Coturnix japonica: one gene and its partners. The protein of the gene in region 2 purifies or fractionates together with the protein of the main gene of each other region. This does not show direct contact. Links are inferred from orthologs where the notes say so. Each region holds a gene or a part of one and is shown on either strand. Other genes may lie near its edges.

Region 1 (5,017 bases), on a different chromosome or scaffold from region 2:
CCTTGGTGAGCCCATGCTGACTACTCCTGATAACCTCCTTTTCTCCCAGTTGTCTGGAGATGGCATCCAGCACAACCTGTTCCATCATCTTTCCAGGGACAGAGGTGAGGCAGACTGGCCTATTTCCTGCATGTTCAGAGCTTGATTCTTTAAGGTTCTCTGAATTGATGGGGGTTTTGGAAAGGCAGTCTCTCAAATACTTCCATTGTATTTTTGGCAACATGAGGAATATGTGCACCTGAAGAAATAAGCACTTAAATTCTTCAGTTTTGTTATTTCTTCTAGGCATTCCTTGGTTTTAAACTTGCTTTTTTACACACTGTTGCTAAACCATGCAGTTTCTAATTCTTTTTTTCCCCGCTGTTTTCCTCTCCTACAGCTGGACCTTCAGATGAACCTCAACTCTATAAAAAAATACCATATGCATTTATTCCTTTTCTTCTGCAAGTGCTTTATAGGTCTGATAATGTTTGAGAGGCAGTGTTAGCTCTAGCCTGTTATACTCCTGAAAAAATATTACCCCACCTATACCTGCACAGCTTAAGCGCCCAGTAAGAGAAAACAAATACATTAGCTGACATATTTAAGCATTTGTGAATGTAATTCAACTGGGAGCCTGTGAAACTCATCCAAACAGGTTCTATATCAGCCATTTATCCCCCCTACTGTTGGCTGTGGTATGTATAATGTTATTATAACATATGTTATATTAACACACTGTACTCTTGATCATGATAAGCGACTTTCCAGCCCCACAGAGTTTCTGAGTGGAACTTAATATGACACAAAAACAGATGGCCCACCTTCTTCTTCCCATAGTCCACAGGAAATGAAGAATGAAGCAACTGAAGCAGTCTGACACTCAGTAACGTCATAGAGAGTTACCAAATCAGGTCACTAGTTGAGCAGGGGACTTCCTCCTTTAGGAAATAAGGAAAAGAAGGGCCACTACAGAACACCTCAAGGCTCTGCATTAAGTGACATATAAGTTATTTCAAAGCATGTTCTCATTGTGACACTCTAAAGTATAATAGACTTGGAAATCTCCGGTCTGAATACTAATTTCAACACTGGTATTTAATTATATTCTTGCAGTGGCTCAAACTGCAAAGAAGTTTTAATTAACCCAGTAGAAAACAGGACAACGTTAGTAGAAGAGGCAGCCACTTAAATAACCAAGGTCCAGTCAATAAAACAACATAAACTGTATTGTGCACAGGTGGGTATTACACAGAAAAAGAAGAAATATTAGCTGATTTTCAAAAACACTAGGGTTAGACAGACAGTAACACACATATTAATGGAAGTTCAGAATGAATCAGCAGGCATAGCAGCATCATAAAATAACTTAAGAGCCTGTATTAGTTGCTGTTTAGAAGCTTAACAAGAACACAATGCAGAGGCTTCTTTCTACTACATATTAAATAGCTTCGGGAGGGGTGGATGGCTTATCTTCACCACCAACAAGGCAAGAAAGCCATTTTTAACATATTAAAAGCATGTAAGAACATACTAAGGAGTGGACTGAGAACACTGCATGTCCACACAGTCTTTTCTATGCAGCACTGAAATAAAGGCTTGAGAAATTTATAACAAGGACTTCAAGCCTAAGACAGCAAGGTACAGCAGGTATAGGTTCCATTAGTTTTGCTATTCCGTATTATGACAATTAACCCTTAACTAATCATGTCTACTGAACTGAGTCTTTTTCCTTCAAGCTATAAACAAGGATAAAATATGCTGCAGTTGAAACTGGAAGCTCAGTAGGTAGCAGATGTCTCTATCACATTATCAGGATTTAAACTGCTTCATAATCATCCAAAACTTGTGAAAAAGCACATCTATTCCATATTCAGAAGGCACAGGATGACACAAAGGAAGAACTGAGAGTAAGAAACATGACAAATCTGAACTCAGGTATGACAGATAACCTGCTATAAGCCAGAGGATAATTTAAGTCGCTTTACCCTAGGAGAAAACAGAGCACATCCCACATGTGTTGGTGCTCAGATGTCACTGTTCGTTTGTGACCCCTGACTTCCTTGGAACCATCAGAACTAAGAAATGGTTAACAGGGGATGTTTTCACAACACCCCAATTACCACGTGCTTTTCTCTCGCTCCCTGCTCTCATCCTAGATAAACACATGAACACACTCAGCTGCCTGTTTCTGAGCATGTAGTGCCATCTATGTTCTCAAGATACTCTCACAGCCTCTGCATGCAAACAACTGCTGTGCTCATCCCACAAGCTGAACACATTTTAATGCATTCTTTATTGCTATGGCCCTCAAATAACAAATACAAAAGGGTTTTTTCCTAAACCAACAGCTGATTAGGACTATTTTGCTTTACAGGTTGCTAGTATGAAAACCCTTCAATAGCCTTGAATGTCACAAAGCGTTAGGCAGTCTCCCTCTTGACATTAAGACTTGTAAAGACACATCAGAATGGACACCAACTAAAGCATTTGGCATTTGTAACCAACTGCTGTATTTCCTTTCCTGTAAACTCCATCATCACTAGCCATGAAGAAATGCAGGAACTATACAGAGACTCAAAGGAGGCTCTCCATAGAGCATCAGCCCATACCTGACAAGTAGGTTGTGAAGGTCAACCTGGCTCCAGGTAACTTGACCAGAAATTAATCCAAAATTGCACTGGCTTGTAGCTCCTTTAAGTGCAAATACAACTTACTCACTCCAGAGGACAAACAGAACCTTGTAGGTGAAATAAACTTTGAGAGACAGCTGTTACTAGAATAGGGATGGATTCATCAGCTGCTGATGGCACACAACCGATGCTCAGTCCTAATAAAACCCAAAATAGGCCCCTGTGAAAATGCTTCAACTTCGAGAACTTGCATTGCTTTGCTACAGGAGTTATGCATGCCTTCAAAGCAACAAAGCAGCTCCAGCAATCACGTTGTGCTTCTGGTTTTATTTTAAATGAATTCACAAAATATAGCAATATTTACAGATTCTATCAGGTTACTCGTCATCAAATACTCCTAATTAGTAAACAAAACAAAACAAAACAAAACCAAATATAGCAATTATCAAAAGTTCTTCCAAAGCAGCACTGGTACTTGTGGAAATTAAAATGGCTGATGAGCATTGGATCAGCATTCCCAAATCCAAACAAGAGAGCGCTGTCCTTCCGCTTCCAGGTAAATTCCCTTTACGTCTTTGAAGCCACACAAAACACATGTATAGTGTGCTTTAAATGCAGATCTTGTCTCTCCTTCCAAATGCTGCTGCTCTTCCCATGTCTCTTTTCCCAGTCAGTCATGTCTTCTGAATTAAGACAGTCTCTCATTCTGCTGCACCCTCACCAGAACTGGCACGATCTGTATTTTCAGGTAAATACACCCCCATGCTCTGTAAAATGTTAGAGGTGTGTCCTGCCAGTCCAGCCTGAGCGCTGTAAGATTCAAGCAGATTAGTTACTAGGTTCATATCCACATCAACTGGTGTCAACTGAGCATCTTCCTCTTCAGAGTCAAGGCCAGTATTTTGCAATGTTGTTGCTTTAGCGGAACTTGCCTGCAGTAAGCACAAGGAGAAGGTTCCATCAAGACAAATCATATACAAAAAAGGAAGAATTAAAACATAAGAAATGAAGAAGGCAGTTCTGTCACCAACAAAGTTCAGTGTGTTCTCATCTGCCTTGAGAGACAGGAATGTGGTCACCAAATACCCATGCCAGTTAAAAATCATCACTTTCCATTATATGGATGACATGCACAGAGGGTTAGTGAGTCCTGCCTCAGTGTCCCATGGGACTGATTGATGATGGAAACTCAAGAACTCAAACTGCAGCTTGCAGGGACCTGAAACCAAGTCTTGGAATCAATGTGTACATTAAAGCTGAGCTAAGTTTTGCTTCCAAGATACCGTGGTGCGATTTGCCCATAGGATTATTTTTCTTGGTAATCAGCACAAGGCTGGAGGACAGAAATTGCTCATCATGTTACTCACAATGACTTCTTGTAGCAGACTCCTTCTTTCCCAACAAAGCTCTCAAATGATTATGCCACAAACTGGTATTCAAGGCATACTCACCCCTTTCTTCTGAGTGGTAAAACTTTTTCCAACGTTGGTTTGTGCCAGCTCACGGTCCATTTCATCCATATATGACTTAAGACTGCCTATAAGTTCATGAGCTGATACCTCGTCGTCTTCCCTTCGATTTTCAGCATCCAGGTCATCTTCATCCTCATCTGAGAAGTCAAACTCCTCCTCTTCATCCAGATCATCAGAATCCAGCTCTTCTGAGTCTGCCCCTGTGTATTTTCACATAAGCACAGACAGCAAGGAAATCAGCACAGCGCACGTGGATCATCAGAAAACCCAGAGACACTAAATAAAAATGAGGTACTCTGACAAAAGAAGCAAGCAGTCTCACCTAAAATTCTGTCTAACGCCTTTGTGAAAGAATCTACATCGAAGGTAACATTGGTTTCATCAGATGACCTGAAATAAGAAATGTATTCAATAAACAAAGGTCCTCTGCTTGCACAGGCCTAACACAGGCACGGACTGGCTGCCATGCTGCTAAACAAAACAGCCCACAAAACCAAGTAAGGAGCTTTGGAACATAAAGCATCTCCCACCACTTTTATCTGCACCAGAGCATCTGAGTGGTGAGTGACCAAGCCAGTTTAAAAGCTAGTCACTACTAATACAGGTGTTTGCTTCAGGGCTCTGCTAAAGAGAACATCTTCCGACTTTGAAAGATCACAGAATCGGTGAAAGGGCTGTAAGTGAATGAAATCACATTCCACACCAGGCACCAAACTGAAAAGAAAATACCAGTACCATGGCACTTCCGCCCCTTTGTGCGTTGAGACTTTGGACACGAAAGCCTTCATACTTTCAGCAACTGCTTCCAAGTCATATTTCTGCTCTTCTTCATTTGAGGAAGGGTGGGATTCAACTGTTGCCTCCTTCAGCATCTGATCCAGAGCATCCGGAGAAATCTCCAGCCAACTGTCATCTGTAAGAATTCAGGACATA
Region 2 (5,905 bases):
AGTCTTGTCACTAGACTCTGACACTCCCTCTAGGCTGTATTTGGTCCAGCGCTCTGGGTGTGCCACATAGTCAGGCACTGCTGGAGACATTCTGGGAGACTGCACTGGTCTGGTTGGCTTTCCAAGGCTTTCTGGTATTACATTACTTGACATGGTAGTTGGAGGTAAGGGACGTTTAAACCTCCCATCAACAACATTATCTTCAGACATTGAGGGAACAGACAATTTTGCTGCCTCCTCCAAGCAATCAAAAATACTCTGGCTGCGGAGAGAGAATGTAGAACTCATGCCCCTCAGAAGGAATGGCTGAACAGGAGACCTCTCGCTGCTTTCTGATGGGTCAGCAGTGTCCCCTGGTCTGTAATCCCCATCATCTACAGATGGATCCTCAGGAGATATTGTATCAACTTCTGCTTCATCTGCTAATCCCAAATCATCGGAATCAGAATCGCTGAGCGACACTGCGTCAGAGGGCTGAGCTCCTTCGTAGTCTGCTGCAGTGGCAGTCCTGGTGCCCAGGAAGGGTTCAGCATCATCCTGATCTCCCATCTTTGAGCTATCACTCCACTGAGGTCCTTAACGCAGGCCCAGGAATGGCTGTAAATACGGTTTTCCAAATGTCCAGCAGCTTTAATGCCTACAATATAAAAGAGCATGAAAATTCAACTGCGCAATGAAAATCACACGTATGACCATCACTCTGGGACAGGCCTGATAATGATTACTGCTATATCACAGTACATTGCTGTGGAACAGATGCACATTAATATTAAAGACTTCCACAAAATTCAGTACAAGAATGCAAAGTAATTATAAATAGTGATGCACTGAATTTCACTGAAGGTAACAGCAAGACCAATTGCTAAATGATGAGCATAAGTTTTTTGAATATAACTGTTCCACATATCTTCTTCCAAGAACAGCAGTGACTCTCCAAAGTACACCGTTCATTTACCCATACCATATAAATCCATAAAAACAAATCCTAATCTCTTTTGTCTGTTGCAATTCTTCATTGCCAATTCACATCCGTCCCCAATCATATTCTACGTATTAAAAAGGGCCCTGCTGCTGATCAAGGAATGTGTCAGAACAGCCTGTAATGTCTCAGAGCTACAGTTCTGTGTCAGCTTTAAACTGACAAAGTACAAGGTGCACTCCTTCCTTGGCTTTAAGCTTTTACGTTATTACTAGATAGTTGCAATCACATGATAAGTGAGCGTGAGAAATGAATTGAGACAGATTATGAAAAATAATTGCATATGCCATGCTTGTGTGAGCACACTGGAAACAAGGGGAGGGTGCAAGCAATGGTCAGCAAGAGCTGCCCATTTGGTCAATCAAAAGACACAGTGACCTGAACCCTGAGTTCCAGTACAGTACAGGCTGAAACACCACTGCTTGTTGGGCAGTCAAAAATAGACTTGGCAAAAATACACTTCAGTTCAGCTCTCCAAAACGTGAATTAGGGAAAGTGTTCTCATTTACTATTAGGTTAAGTTAAACTACACAATTATAGGTTCTTCTGAAAAGCCGCAGTAAACAGACATGGAAAGTGTGCTGGTCACTCACTTTCTCCTGAGACTGAGTCAGCTTCCCCTCCTGAGGGTCAGTTAAAGCCACCAAAGATCTCAGCACTTCCACCCTAGAAAACAAACATTTCCATCAAGATACTGGAAATGTAGTTTTAAAAAGAGTTTTGAAAATAATTCTTTCTCCCTGAGTCACCCAAAGCTACAGAGCAGAGTTCTAAATCTGACACAAGCTCAAGCTTGCATAAAAAAGTCTTCAGATAATCCTGAATACTAGCAAAAGAACAGCACAAACCTAATAGGACAGGCTCCACCACAGTTACTCAGTCTCCACATTCACAAAGCCAAGTCTTATTCTCTACAACAGAAGAGAGGCTTTAAAAAAAAACAAAACAAAGCTGTAATTTACACATGCAGTAAACTATTAGTAAATGTACTGTGTTAACTGCAGCCAAGAAGGTACCAGATATGCACTGCAGGTACTACATGCCAATAGGAAAGAGACCCAGGACACCACAGAGATGCCTGCAAAGAAAGGTTGTATTCACCACTGGGGACAGATCTGCATGAGGAATTAGTATGTGGAGAAGCTTGCAAAGAACTGAATGGCCTGAATGCTGTGTTCTGTGTAGTCTGGCTGTGTTTTGACACCGTTGCTTTTGAAACGTGGCCTCTAGTGCAACCCCCAAATGCAAAATAATCATTTGAAGATCCTGCACCTTTCTCTTTAGTTTTATAACACATGAAAGAAACGAGTGCAACTCAAAAGAAACACCAAAAAGCAGGGCTGAGCAAAACAGATGTTTCAGGCTATGAATGAGGGCACCTCTTTGCTAAGAGCATTTGTACAGAAAGGGAAAACGTTGCTACTGGAAGAATAATTTAACAGTGTTAATACCAAACACGCAGATGCTGACAACACACCAGACAAACTCACACGTTCATTACAGCAACGTGGGCACTGCACAGCACACACAGGCCCGTGTCTCTCTGGCTGCCACGTTCTCCATCAGCCTCTCCCATCCTGGCCTTGCTCTGCTGGCTCTGCTCACCCTCCTGCAGCTGGGAGGCAAACACAGAGCTCCGTCACCCCAAATCTCGACCCCATTCTCATCGCACAGACAGCACTACGACACAACCCACCGCCGCACCCTGCACCATGGGCCCATATACCGCATTCCTTGCCAACCTAGGACCCAGCTCCCCGGACCGGGATCCCCCCCCCTCCCCGCTCACACCCAGCACCGAATAAACGCCCCATACCCCAAAGCCGCGCAAGCCCGGAGGAAGGTGGAGGTGGGGAAGTGCAGGAAGCAGAAGTACAACCCTGCTTCCCGTTAGCGTCACCTCGCTTTGCATCCTGAGAGTTGTAGTTGTCTGCGCTTTCCCCGTTGGGGGCCATTTTGAGAGCGACGCGGCCGGACTACAGCTCCCAGGAGCTCGCCCTCCATTTTGCAGACTGTGAAGCTGTCGGGGGTGGCCCCTCCTCATCCAAACCGCGTGGAAAAAACAAGTCAGGCGTTGGTTTTTTCCTCATCTCTTGGGCTTGGCAGCAGCGAGCGGTTCAGAGGAAGCGTGGAGTTTTTATTTGCATGTACTTTATAACCAGAAAGCCTTCAGTCACTGGGGTGTGAGACAAGTGTCCGGCCAAAAGCAAGTTTCCATCCTCTGTCCCAAAAGAACATTTTTTTGTTCATGTGTCAAGATGTGGAATTCTGTCGGAACATGTTTTATTGGTGTTGGCTGAGGCCATCTGGTTCTTTTCCCCCTTCTTCAGCTAAAAGCTTTAAGTTCTAAAGCAGAGGCTCTAGAGGTGTTTCCCCATTTGGTAAGCCTTTCCTTAAACATATATACATGTACAGCGGAGACACAGGCAGATGGATTCCTGTCTGGAGGGAAGAGAGAGGAAAGCAGGGTCCTTTGGCGTGTGAGCAGAAACAGGAGTCACAGGCAAAGACAGGCAATGGGCAGGGGAGACACAGACAGTGGCTGAGGGCTGAGCCTGCTGCATAATGCTGTCTGGGCATACCAGCAGCAGGCAGGGAAAGGATGTGCATTAAGCGTGGTCATGCCCTATTTTTGTAAGGGTGGAGGCAAGCAGCATAAGCCATGGATCTGGGGTTGGGCTTTTCTTTGTCAGGATGCAGCTGATGGCTAAGGTTACTACATCAGCTGTCTGTATCCTTTTACTCCTTTCCTGTCGCTGTGCAGAAGGTGAGTCTCACACACTGCAGAGAACTGGGGATGAGCTGTTCTTTGCTGACTGCAGACAAGGCAATTCACGATGGTGAATGTGCTGTTGTGTTGGGATTTTTGCTATTGCTTGGTGACAGCTGAAATAAAAATAATGAGTCAGATCCTAAAGAAGAACAGATGGTAAAGCCTAGCCCTAGCCAGCGTGAACTAAGATGGCTTGAAGAGGGGTGCGGGACTCGACATGGCTCTGTGTGCCATCACAGGACATCTTCCAAACAAGTACACTATGCCTGGGGCAGGCTTAGCTCTTGTGCAGAGATTGCCCTGTGCCTCTGCAGGGAGCAGTGCGTCTCCGTTCAGCCCTGCTGCTGGGAGCCTTGTGTTCCTTTCTTGCACATAAATCTGCTGTTGGCCCCTATCCGGTGACTGTTTCCGCTGCTCAATTGGCAGGCTCCAGCCCCAGCCTATGCACTGAAGGCTTCTGCACTTGGAGCCTGGGAGAGGCTGCCTGTCCTTCTCTTCATGGCTGTAGGAAACTGGCAGGCAATTCCCCGGCAGCCACTGTGATACTGAAGGCCAAGCACAGCGATCCAATGTATTTTCTCCATCTCATGCGCCCAGAACAACTGTGGACATGAGTCTGGTATGGCCATGCTCAGCTTGATGCCAGAGTTCATGAGGGGAAGTAGGGAAGGAAAGGAGCATTTTCCTGTAGGTAAAAATCTCAAGCACAGCGTTGCACAGCACATCCTCCTCTGCTGGAAGACTGCAGTTGCACCGAGCCAGAATGAGTAAAGGCTGGGGGAAATAATCACCTGACCTCTCCCATTTACAAGAAGGAAAGCCTATAAATATCCTTGAAACCCAGTGGGATGTTTCCAGGATTTGGTGCTTAACACTGCCTTTCTCCTACATCAGTTTTTGCTTACCTGTTTTACTTTATGCTTTCTTTTGGCTCTGGCTCACATGCAAGCAGGTTTGACTTATTCCAGTGCTGTGTACTCACATTGGAGTTTTCATCCTGCTAAGTGAGCAATGAAAAAATCAACTCATGTGGAGGGAATATATTTAATGAAGACAGGTATCAACCTGACTCTTCCCAATGACAAAGTTACTGCCAACCTGTAGGGAGAACCTGCAGTTGTTTTCTGTTAGGGACACTGCATGTGTAAGACAGGATTTGCCTGGCCTCGCACCACCACATTTTGGGTGCTCTGTTTGAACATGAGCGGATTCCCTAGCAAAACAGGGCCAAGAAACACTTAGAAAGAAAGAAAGTAAAAAGTGATTAAACTGTAACAAGAAATGTTACTTGTAACCATCAGACTAGAGGGGCTCCTGAATCCCAGCAGAGAAATGTCAGGAAGTCCACCTGCCTATGCCTAACTGCTGCAGCTATATACCCACTATAATGTATCTGCATGTGGGAAGATGTGGGCTTTCCAGCATTTTTGGCAGCTGAGTTGTGTTTTCTTTCTTCTCCAGTTCCCTGGGCTCTGAAATGGAAGCAGCGAGCTGCCTGCATCAGGCAATCTGCTAGAGGTCAGCTGAAATGTTTGCACCACCAGAGTGCATCTTTGTGTATCTGCCTCCTGCTGAGCTTCTGCCCTGTGCAGGACAGCGTGATGCTCCCTAGGCTGAAACTGAGGAATGGTCAGGCAGAAAACACAGAAATTAACACCGCACCCTTAACTTCTATTTGGTGCATATGGGATTAGGGGATTCTGGCCTGTGTCTATCACTTAATCAAGCACCAGGCATGCAGTTAATTATGTTTGCCTTTCCCCTTCAGCACCCACTAATGCCCAGCAAAGGCTGCTGCGGCTCAGAGCAGGAATTTGAGTGCAGCGACTGAGACATTCTTCATCTCTGAGCCAGGCAAGTGGAGCTGGCAGCTGGAGAAGAGGGAGGGAGGGTGCCTTCCCCTGCAGCAACTGCTGCTGTAAACAGCTCTGTATGGGAGAGCTGCCTGCTCCCAACACCCCATGGGAGTACAGCACAATGTGGTTAGAGCTCAGACAACATCTAAGCACAGAATGGACATCAGCAATTTATACCTTTGCTACTAGTCCTCGTCCTCTTAGTAGGAAGCAATTAGACACATTGCTACTGGTAACACAAACAGCCCAGAATAGGTTTAGGAAATAGAGCTGCCCAAAGCAAAAAATACATCCAAA
Region 3 (5,236 bases), on a different chromosome or scaffold from region 2:
CTGTTTAATATGATAACAAAAGGTACGGTTACTATGCAGATCTGAAAACATTATAACCCCCATAGAAAAGGAATCCCTTCCTTGAATCTTTCTGAGGAGTTCAGAAGTGAGATAAGTGACCACATCTCTCAGATTTCTCCTAGTTAATCATATAGCACTAAAACAGTAGAAATCTAGTTTCTCCTATAACCAAAACACCAAGAACACCACTATGACTAAACTTCCTCAATGCCAAGCAAAAAGAAAGAATACACCTCCCTTAACAGTACATCTATGACCTGTGCTCCATCTAGAGATGGAGAGCTCTAATAAATAACAAAATCACACCTGCAGAGTACGCAGGAAACGCATTGCCCTTGAAGCTCACAAAGTCATTAGGATACAGACACCGGCAGAAACCTGCTTCCCTATTACTTGCAGGGCAGATGAGTTTCAGGAGCATTCCTACAGGACGCCAATTACCATTTAGAAGACACATGAGTACTCAGCAGACAATCTCCTTTTACAGTGTTTACCTAACCTTATTAGCAGGGTCTTCTGTTAAGAAGTTCTGCTGTTTAGTCGTTGCAGGTCTTAGAGAATTATTGTGTAATGACTTCATTCCTGCTAGTGAGTAGTCAAGCATACAGCAAACTCTCTCAAGCAAGAAAGCGAATTCTGCACACACACACCAGCTAAGAGATAAATTCTCACTGCTTATTTCAACACCCTAATAATTTTCTCTTACTGTTTTAACCAATGACAGGGAGAGAAATCACCTCCACTGTTAATATGGGACAGAGCCCTCTCCATCCTGATTTGAAGACAGACATCTGTCCATATCACAAGCACAAAGCAAGCTTACAATAACATGCATCTTACCCCTTGATTGTAAGCCTCCCTTGCTTTCTCTACCAGCTCCTTTTGTTCCTCGATTTGTCCTTTCATCATCCACAGTTTGGGAAAGTCCTCATAGTGTTTCAGGGCTTCCTCACAAAGCTCCTGTGCCGCAGCAATGTTTCCCAGCACCCATTCCAACTTCACAGACTTCATGAAGACCTGACAAAGAGACGGAGCCGTTTATCACTGGGGAAGAAACAAAAGCAACAAAAACAAGAACTCTGCCAATGCAGTGGGTTCCCATGTCTGTGCATACATTGGGAAGTTATTCATGAGCCTTAGTTTGGAGCAGAAGGCTCCATGACTGACAGGAGAAGAGGACAATCTAAAAGGTCCAAATCTCCACACAGCAAACCAGGTTTTTTCCTCTTACTTGGTCAAATCGAAACGATTCTGTATGCACAGCTAAATATTGACAACATTTATCACAGCAGAAGTAACCGTAGAGATAAACACAAGACTGTAACTTTAAATAAATCCGATGAGCACCGTCTTTAGCACAGCATAATTGAGTCTTCTGCAAAAAATATTTTCACTCTCTCTTCTCCAAGACACGCTTTTATGCAACATGAACATTATACAAACAGCTGTAAACTGGGAATTTCCTGACTTTTGCCATTTGTGTGAAAAAATGTGAAACCCTTCACTTGATCCCAGCCTCTGTTCCCATCATGCTGCAACCGAGTGTTGCAATTTGCTGGAGAAGTGCTACGGTGCCTGCAAAAGGCAATGGCAGGGAGCCATCTGGTCAATCACTTGAGGCCACAGAACTGAAGGAGCTCCTGCTTACGACTCAGCTCCCCCATTGCTATGAGAAGCCTTGGCCTCTCCACCCTTCACACATCCCTACCCTTGCAGTGGGGGCACTGCTGCGAGCTTTTGCCAGCAGCCTCCTCGCTCTTTCATATTCATTGTTTTCCGACTCGAGCTTGACGGCAGCCAGCCAGATCTCCTCGCTGTTGGGGTTGGCCTGCAAGAACACAAAATGACAGACAAATGCATACAGTGAATCAACAGCAGATTTAATCCTTCGTTTGATCCAGATTAAAATTGAAGTCAGAGCTCTGTCAATCCACATTAGGACTTCTTTTCCCATTCAAGCTCCTCCCAAACTTCTTTGACCTTTGAAGTTCATAGAAATTCTACGAAACAGATGCGCAACACAAAGATGTGTTTCAGTTGAAAAGTTGGACGTCTCTCAACTGTTGAAAAGCGTTAATGCTTGATCTCCTGAACTCGCAGTTTAACTACTGCAAAAATCAGAGAGTCTGTCACAGTGAGACCCTCACTTCATTATCTCTGAACAAAAAAGCTGAAGCTCAGATTCCCAGCAGAGAGCTGTGAACAGCACTCCTCCAATACAAGTCATTTTTCAGTAACAATCATGTCAAGAAATCTTCAGAATATTCACAGAAAGAACCAAGGCCAAATTCAGGAGATAAACCTCTTTCACCTCCTCGCTGAGAAGCTGCTGCCATTTATTTTTGCTCCTCAGCTCCTGAGGTCTCAGTCCATGTTAGAGCTGTATCACTCTGCCCATCTTCCAGTATCCAGTGGACAGTTCCATTCACTTTGTTTTAGATCAGGGTATTTGGTCCAAACCAAAGGTAAAACAGCAGCCTCACTAATTAGGGCAGATCACTACCCTGTCAACTGCTCATAGCAAGCACAGGGCAATGCAGATCTGTGGCTGGGTGTGGTAGAAGCAATGGTACTAAAAGTAATGATCTGTGAACTCACAGCTCCGCGTGATAACACTAAAAGAGCAGTAATGCATTCTTGCTTCCAGCTTGCTAATATGTTACAGGAGAACATTTTTGACAAATAAAACTATCAAAGAACAGAGGAAATCTCCTCATATCAAAAGGTGGCAGAAATCAGATGAGCGCTGACAGAAAAAAGCTTCACCATACTCTTTAATTCACATTTACCACCACGACACAAACCTAACATACCCACCTGGAAAGCCAGGGCCAAGATGCTTCTGGCTGCTGGCACATCTCCTGCCAGCCACTTCGATTTGGCTCCCATGAGCCACAGCACTTCTGCTTTGGGACAGTGAGCAACAGCTCTCTGCAAAAGAGCCTCCAAGGATTCTCTGAGACAAGAAAGAGCAAGTTACAATCACCCGAAGCGCTGCCAAAGGCGAGCTCTCACATTCAACTTCCACTATCACTCAATGCTATAAATATTGTTGCAAAGTCCAACGCTGTAAACCTTGATAAGTTGTTTCATAACAAGGAAAGGGTGGGGTCTTTTTTCCACAAGGGTTCTGAAATCAGTGCTCCACAAACGGCTCATTGTTCAGACACCTTTGTTTGATGGCTGCTGAGACACCATGCGTATAAACAGCTCATTTGTCTTGGAAAGAGCCAGTCTTCTAAACAAACCTCAGCAGAATCCAAGACAGGAAGTTTTTCAGAATTATTAGGTGAAGCTGGCTTGATCTTATTGACATTTTCTTCCTCCTCTGGAAAATGCACTTAAATGTAGAACAAGGGGCTTAAGGACCAGCAGCCACCACTGGGAAACACAGGAGAACACCAAAGGCAAAGACACACTTGTTCCAAAAGCACAAATTCTGTCTCCACATTCACTTCCACACAACAGCCACATTTAGCTTTAGCAAGACTAACTCCCTCTGCATATGAAGTTGACTATACAGACTGCTTGCTTTATTATAAACTTTGTAGAGGAAGGTTCAGATGCATGGAGCTTCATGAATAAACACCAAAATAAGAGGCTCAAGCTGTGACAGTGTAATATTCATTCATAATTTGACATTATGAGAAAATGCCAGAGCTGTTCAGACTCAGTACTGAAGTAGTTTATCTACACAAGTTAAACAAAACACTTGCTGCATTTCTTGGTGATGTCATTCTGTATTCCCTATTTTTTTCTAGGAATGCTTTCTCAAAGATGACCATCCTTACCTCAGTTATTCATAGCTACTTCCATTACTTATTACTTAATCTCTTTTCCTAAAGCACTCTTTAGGACCTCACAAAGAAAATAATCTGATCGCAGCAAAGGTCAGACCCTGCAAACAATGCCACTGAGCTTTCACCAACTAATTCTGTCTGTGGAACAATACACTTTATTGCTGACCTTGTAGCTCTTCTGCCTTCCCAATCTATCACACTGCACTGAGAAGGAACAGCACCTTCATCTGAGGATGATGCAGTGCACGTACCTTGTTCCATGGTTCTTTTCAAAGTACGCTGCTCTCAGCCACACACTCTTCTTGCTTGGGAAGACTTGCAAGGCATAGGCATAAATTGCTCGGGCACACTCCAGAGCATTGTGAGCAACACACTAAGGAAAAGCAGAGCAGAAGTCAGATTAAATTTGCAGTGAAATCAAGGGCAAGACAGGACAACACGTGTGTAATTCAACACAGAACTCAGAAGCTTACTACATGAATTGGGACATTATACTTTGATATCAGCTTTATAAAAGGAAGCACAGAGAAACACTCCAGTTGTCTCTTTCAGTGCTCAAGTATCATGCCAAAATATAACTTAGTTTGTGGCACATATTTAAACTACTCCCCACATACAAAGAAAACGTGGTAAAACTTTCACACACTCCCTGCTCAATCCTACATCACCTCTTCAACGTTTACACCTTGAAACTCAACTCTTAATTTGCTGAACAAGACCTTAATCTTTGTTGACAGCCCATAAATAAACAAAGAAATCAGCAAACCATCTATTCAGAGTCACCAACTTCCTGCTTAATGAAAATTCAAGTATGAAAAAAGCTCTCCAATACCATAACCCCAAGAGGGGGGCCGGCCAAATGCAGGCAGATGCTGCGCACATCGCATCCACTTTCAGTGATTAAAACAAGTCTTACTTTCCTGGCTCCAGTTCCCCTTCCCCCAGTGTGGAAACAAAACACAGCATCACAGCTGGACATACACTGTCTGCATCTTCCATCCAGGTATGTTTCCGATCTTCTTCTTCAATCCCAATTCCAATCACAGCTCGCATGATTGCCTGGCATGTGGCCACGCTTCCAGCTTTATCACACTCCTCAGCATCCTGGGGACAAGAACAAAAGCTGCTCATTTTGAGACACCAGCACCGTAAGTTAGATTCTGCAACAGCAACTGCTCCCTGGACCCACTGCAAGCGATATCAGTAGTAAAGTGGCTTAAAGGATTTATGTTTAAACACAGCATCTGTAGATATTCAGGAGGAAACCTGAACATCAAACCACTTATTTATCACTTCCCACCAACTTGGGAAACTCACAGTTTTCAAAGGTGACCGAATCACTGAAACTCCACAGAACTTTTTGCTACTTTTCTAGCACTAAAGTTCCAAAATAGGATGATGTGTAACAGTGTGAT
Region 4 (5,735 bases), about 22 Mb from region 2:
TGTAGTGCAGTGAAACTCTGGAGAATAGCAAAACATGCTATGAATTCACACCTAAATGCTTTCCAGGTTCTACTTAACATAATTATATTCAAAAACACAACTGCTAATACTCAAACCAAGAAATGATGTACTGTCTTGACTTTGCTTAACCCTCTCCTAAAAGACACATTAACATGAAAATAATAACTACACTGAAATAACTCTTCCTCTAACCATGAAGCCAACGTAATTAGAAAAAAGTATACATCATAGAATCATACAATGGCCTGGGCTGAAAGGGACCATAATGATCATGTAGTTTCAACCCCTCTGCAATATGCAGGGTCACCAACCACTAGACCAGGCTGCCCAGAGCCACATCCAGCCTGGCCCTGAATGCCTCCAGAGATGAGGCATCCACAACATCCAAAATGAACTTCTAGTTTAGTCTCATTTTTTAAACATATTCCTTTATCCACTATGCTGAAGTTCTTCCTTGTTCTTCATCTCCATGGCGCAGGTTAAAATGATCATCACCATTCTTTTAAACTGGCATTCACATACACACCTGATTCACATATAGCCACCTTCCCTTTGTAAGCTCCACCGTGCAAGACAGAATTAATCAAATTGTTGAACATGCTAAAACTGCAAATGACTGAAAGAGAGACACTACAGAAAGACCTTATTGTTCATTAATTACCTCTGACAGTCCAGGCATAAAGTTGTCATGCAAGCAGGACAATTCAAAACAGCATCACTGTTTGGAACTGATGAAGGTTTTGTCTGTTGAGGCTGCAACATTCTTCTTTGATTACGGTACCTACCAAATGAAGGATATGGAGGATAAAAAAAGTGAAATTACACATCCTTGCTCATCAATTTAACCTTCAAATATTTTTTAAATTAAAATACATTGGTAAATATCTGTCTCCTTCACAACAACTCTTCTCTAACTAAATCTACCTAAATATAAGCACTATGGGAAAAAAACACACACATGAATTTTTCCATTTCATTTGTATGGAGGATTTTCATCCTGAGATAAGTATGTGGATTTGTGCCCAACAATCATTTTCCTGGAGAAGACAAGTATTTCAAGAACAGTCTCTCTAAGTAACATACATTGATGTGCTTTTCAACAGATTTATGTCTCTCTTCTGCTGCAGCAACCATTTTTCACCCTTCAAAGAAACCTAAAGTAAAGCAGTTTTGAGCTATTCCTATTACAAGTATTTCATCAACATCACAGTTATTTTGATAAGATCTATAGACAAAACAAACTTAGTGAACTAGGAAGTTTTGATTTTGAAAAACTGCATATTTTAGCATTTTGTCACTTTAAAGAGTCTATTTCCATTCCATATATGCAACAATTTTACAAGTTTTTAAATTCCCTGTGCTGTAAATTCTAAGGCACTAAGTGAACACAACAGCAAAGGGTTTTTCTATATATTCACCATGTTCACAGGAATTTTGCAGTTTATCGTAAGCATCCTACCTCCTATTATTTACAGTCTCTTACCTCCTCCTCTGTGAGTCTACCCACTCTTGGTCTCGACTGTCTTCTTCCGGGTCATACAGCAGCTCATCATTGGTAGGAATCCGACGTTGCTGATGCTTTCTTTTTTTCAGGACATCTTGCATAACTGTAGAGATTTGGGCATGCACAGGTTCCATCAGACAGACATACAATGATTCTCTACTCAACTAATCAAAAAATAATCTTTCCAATTTTCATTTTCAATACCTGCAATAAATGTAAATTAATTCATAAATATCTAGCTTTTCTCTCCTCTGTATAGACCACCCCAAAGTTTTAAAACACCTTACATACATTAGGATACATCACAAAGTTGCTAGAACTTTGCTGAAATGATACAGGCTGGTAACTGCCCCCAAAAGTCCCTCTTCAGCAATAGCCTCTGATGCCCTGAGAGGATTCTACTGTATCTGAGATACAGCACTAATATGAAGATGCTGCCTTCTCCCTCAGACCCTTACCAGTTTTGTCTTCATCTTCTGAATCAGAATCAAAGTAAATGTCATCATAGTATTTTGAAGTGGTGGCAGATCCAGCCTCTCCAGCGCTTGAAGAAGTACCTGCATTAAATTGAAGAGGGAAGTGGTAAGAACATCTCACCAAAAGGATAACATGCATATAGCCCAGTACAAACCATCATTTCCAAGCTGCCCTACTCAAGAGCCCCCCAGTACATCTGTGTGTATTAAGCTGCAGCTCTCCCAGTTTGTTCCCATGTCCCAATCAACTATGTTACTTGTGTGATTTCATTTACAGGTAAAAGAAATACAAGTTCTTCAAATGCCAGAGCAATCTACAGCACCCAAAACAGCATACGAAGTCCAGAATGGATAAATCCTTTACACAGTTTCACTACTTCATGTAACTTATAGTTATGAGCACTTAGGGGATTAATATTTTTCTTGACTCTTTTCCCCGCCTGATTTGCAATCTTAACCCACCACATGCCATTACTTTCAGCAAGAACGTGCTCCAAATGTTGATAGTGTCCTGAGCCATTGGACAAAGAGACTGCAAACTGCGTGAATGGCTTCCAAATACACACGTGAAAATCACTTACAACATAAGTTACAGAGACACCGGGGAAAAAAGAGGGCTGATCATTCAACAAGAAATCAAAGAGAAACAGGAAATTAGAGGTTCAGAAACAACATAACCAAAAAACTTAGAATGGATGAAACAAGTGCTCTCAAGGTACCCAAGTACCCATTTCTGCAGGACGGAAGAGCCATTTTAAGACTTCTCCACAGGTCTCAGCACCTCACTGCTACCACAAATCCCCCCTCAGTTGTAAGAACACTTCAACTCCTTAATTGGACACCGCTTAACCCTCAGTTTAACAGGCAAGCAGGTGTTAAGAATGATTTACCCATTTCTGGTGATTTCCACGTGCCTTCTATGTTCCTCACGGTGGTGTCGAGCTCTGCCTCCATCTCCTTCTGGAACTCATCATCGCTGGAAGATTCACTCTCCCCAGTCAGGCACTCCCGTAACAGCTTCCGCTTCTGGTCAGGAGTGCCGTGTAAGAGCACATCCACCTCATCTTCAGAGCTACAAACATTGAAACATCACACGCCTAATTATTACCAACAGCTCGCTACACAAGCTAATCAACAATCACCACCTGAGCTGTGTGGAAATACCGAGAAGCACTTATCTGTGTACTTATGTGAAACCCACTGGTTTTAATGCAAAGGAGCAGCGCACACACACACACACACAATCACACAGAATGACCCGGGTTGGAAGGGACCTCAAGGATCATGTAGTTCCAACCCCCCTGCCTGGCAGGGCCACCAAACACACACCTTTACTAGATCAGGTTGCCCAGGGCCCCGTCCAACCTGGTCTTGAACACCTCCAAGGACAGGGCATCAACAACCTCCCTGGGCAGCCTGTTCCAGGGCCTAACCACTCTCCTAGTGAAGAACTTCCCCCTAACATCCAACTTAAATCTTCCCTCTTTTAACTTAAAACCATTTCCCCTAGTCCTGCTATTATCAGCCCTTTAGAAGAGTTTACTCCCCTCCTGGGAGTAAGTTCCCTTCAGGTATTGAAAGGCTGCAATGAGGTCACCCCACAACCTTCTCTTCTCCAGGCTGAACAAGCCCAGCTCCCTCAGCCTGTCCTCATAGGGGAGGTGCTCCAGCCCCCTGATCATCTTCCTGTTCCTCCTCTGGACCCTTTCCAAAATCTCCAATCTTTTTTGTACTGAGGGCTCCACACCTGGACACAGTACTCCAGATGGGGCCTCACAAGAGCAGAGTAGAGAGGGACAATCACCTCCCTATCCCTGCTGACCACCCCTCTCCTGATGGAGCCCAGGATCCCATTTGCCTTCCGGGCTGCCAGAGCGCACTCGTAGCAGACAGACCCTTCCCACCATCAGCGGCCTCCTCCGTGACCGGCAGCACGAGGCAGACCAAACCCTGCAGCAGAGGGAAGCGGCGGCCCCCAGCCCGCCCCGGGAGCCGGCCGGCACCTGCTGAGCGCTCGCTCCTCGTCGCTGGGCTCCTCCACCACGTACGGATCATCCTCCTCCCGCAGGCGGCTCATGGCCGCTCAGCTCCCGGCACTTCTTCCGGCGGAAGCAGCACGGCGCAGGCCCAACTCCGCCCCCCGGAAGGGGACACGTTCCCCCCCCGACCGAGCACCGCCCCGCTGTGATGCCCCGAGCAGGGATCGGGCTGAAGGTTGAAGAGACAGACCCAATACCAAGAGGATTGAAAAAATTTAATGAGCTACTAACACTGAACAACGAGGACTAGTCTAAAAACTGTTTCCCACAGTCCTACTTAAAATATTTACAATTGTGGTAACTGTATATACATTGTAGTCTTTGTCCCTTATAGTCTATTTATAGATGAGTTCCTTAGGAATTACACCTTTGTATTTGGAAGATGAACAGCACAGTATTAGTGTGGTTGCCATTAATAGAAAATAGTATATACACGATGTGAGTTGCTAATAGCCACTGGGCACCAATAACCAGAAGTCTGAGGCTGTGCCTATGCAACTCAATGCAAAGAGCATGTGAAGCTGAGGAACCCCTGTCTTAGAAGCATTCCATGTGCAGTGCTGTGCTTTACTACACTGTGCAATTCACCCTATTGGAAAATAAACCTAGCCCTCCATGCAGCAGTACTGGAGAGTGTAATTACAGAGACTGACACTGACATTGGTCAGCATCTCCAATCAAAAAATGCCATTCACTGGAATTCTGCTGCTCTGCTGAAGGGCTACAAACCCATACAAAGCAGCAATCCCCCTGTGATGAATGATTAATCAAGTAAAGCCTAGTTTTACAACATTCTGAGATTATACAAGAGAACAGCAGCTCTTGGAAAGGACGTGCGGTTCAAGGGAGAGACAGAAAGCATTCAACAAACAAGAGACTGTGGATTCAAACAACAAAAGGTGTCCTGAGCTCTAAATCCAGTTAGCAGAAGGAGACACAGTTCAGGCATTCCTTTACTGGGTATGCCTTTACTACTTGTTTTCTGAAGCAAAGCTTCTCTTTTGTATAGAAGTGGGGCAGTATTACCTTTTTCTACTGAACACCCTTCTGCCAGTTTACTTTCCCCTTCTGGAAAGAAACCAGCTACTTCCCTTAAAAAACATTTCCACCAAAGAAAATGACAAGTCAGCCACTAAGGTGAAAACTATGCTGGATAGGAAAGTCACAAACAGAGGCAAATGGATAAACCTGAGAATGCAAGTGAAAAATTACCAGGCTAGTACTTCATGTTAAACCAATCTGGTACCTGTTTTACAGGATGAACAGAGAAAAATCTACTTTATCTGATTTACTAGAAAATATTAAGCTTATAGATGATACAATGTCTGCATAATTTTAGAAAAATCATTGATTTCATGGTTTATTTTACAATAATTGGATTAGTCTACAAGTTAAGGCAAACATACTAATGTATTTGCTTTTCCTTTTAAATCATAGTTATAAAGGTTACACAAAGTTCTTCAAAACTTCTAAGAAATGTTCACAATTGAAAAAAAAAGATTAAGTTTCTTGATATCAGTAAATGGAAAAAAACTAAGACAGTGTGTATACAATGCATTATAGTAACAATATTCAAATATCTAATGGTAATAGTTAAGCCATTTGAACGATGTACTTCAAATGGTGAACTTCAGAAATTACTTACGAAGGTAAATGATTGGCAGCTGTATCGTAGTATTCATAACATGAACGTAA

Evidence for each region.
Region 1: the proteins of TSSC4 (region 2) and ECD purify together in Homo sapiens (affinity purification with mass spectrometry; 3 studies listed by BioGRID and IntAct, counting the BioPlex papers as one, with this or other methods). This does not show direct contact. The link is inferred for Coturnix japonica from reciprocal best matches to the Homo sapiens genes TSSC4 and ECD.
Region 3: the proteins of TSSC4 (region 2) and PRPF6 purify together in Homo sapiens (affinity purification with mass spectrometry; 3 studies listed by BioGRID and IntAct, counting the BioPlex papers as one, with this or other methods). This does not show direct contact. The link is inferred for Coturnix japonica from reciprocal best matches to the Homo sapiens genes TSSC4 and PRPF6.
Region 4: the proteins of TSSC4 (region 2) and EAPP purify together in Homo sapiens (affinity purification with mass spectrometry; 3 studies listed by BioGRID and IntAct, counting the BioPlex papers as one, with this or other methods). This does not show direct contact. The link is inferred for Coturnix japonica from reciprocal best matches to the Homo sapiens genes TSSC4 and EAPP.

The regions. Positions count from the first base shown.
Region 1 is NC_029521.1:4,228,191-4,233,207, forward strand, and holds the end of ECD (protein ecdysoneless homolog), read right to left. Parts: intron 4,998-5,017; coding exon 4,820-4,997; intron 4,475-4,819; coding exon 4,407-4,474; intron 4,285-4,406; coding exon 4,064-4,284; intron 3,545-4,063; coding exon 3,314-3,544; 3' UTR 1,190-3,313; downstream 1-1,189. UniProt on the Homo sapiens protein: Regulator of p53/TP53 stability and function. Inhibits MDM2-mediated degradation of p53/TP53 possibly by cooperating in part with TXNIP. May be involved transcriptional regulation. In vitro has intrinsic transactivation activity enhanced by EP300.
Region 2 is NC_029520.1:10,937,750-10,943,654, reverse strand, and holds the start of TSSC4 (protein TSSC4), read right to left. Parts: upstream 3,463-5,905; 5' UTR 2,796-3,462; intron 2,784-2,795; exon of another isoform or gene 2,694-2,783; coding exon of another isoform or gene 2,676-2,693; intron 2,595-2,675; coding exon of another isoform or gene 2,470-2,594; intron 2,450-2,469; exon of another isoform or gene 2,431-2,449; intron 1,908-2,430; exon of another isoform or gene 1,828-1,907; intron 1,646-1,827; coding exon of another isoform or gene 1,573-1,645; intron 638-1,572; coding exon of another isoform or gene 560-637; 5' UTR 550-559; coding exon 1-549. UniProt on the Homo sapiens protein: Protein associated with the U5 snRNP, during its maturation and its post-splicing recycling and which is required for spliceosomal tri-snRNP complex assembly in the nucleus.
Region 3 is NC_029535.1:8,473,976-8,479,211, forward strand, and holds part of PRPF6 (pre-mRNA-processing factor 6), read right to left. Parts: intron 4,926-5,236; coding exon 4,803-4,925; intron 4,195-4,802; coding exon 4,073-4,194; intron 2,978-4,072; coding exon 2,839-2,977; intron 1,850-2,838; coding exon 1,730-1,849; intron 1,039-1,729; coding exon 862-1,038; intron 1-861. UniProt on the Homo sapiens protein: Involved in pre-mRNA splicing as component of the U4/U6-U5 tri-snRNP complex, one of the building blocks of the spliceosome.
Region 4 is NC_029520.1:32,515,093-32,520,827, forward strand, and holds the start of EAPP (E2F-associated phosphoprotein), read right to left. Parts: upstream 4,139-5,735; 5' UTR 4,079-4,138; coding exon 4,005-4,078; intron 3,074-4,004; coding exon 2,892-3,073; intron 2,083-2,891; coding exon 1,984-2,082; intron 1,629-1,983; coding exon 1,505-1,628; intron 803-1,504; coding exon 683-802; intron 1-682. UniProt on the Homo sapiens protein: May play an important role in the fine-tuning of both major E2F1 activities, the regulation of the cell-cycle and the induction of apoptosis. Promotes S-phase entry, and inhibits p14(ARP) expression.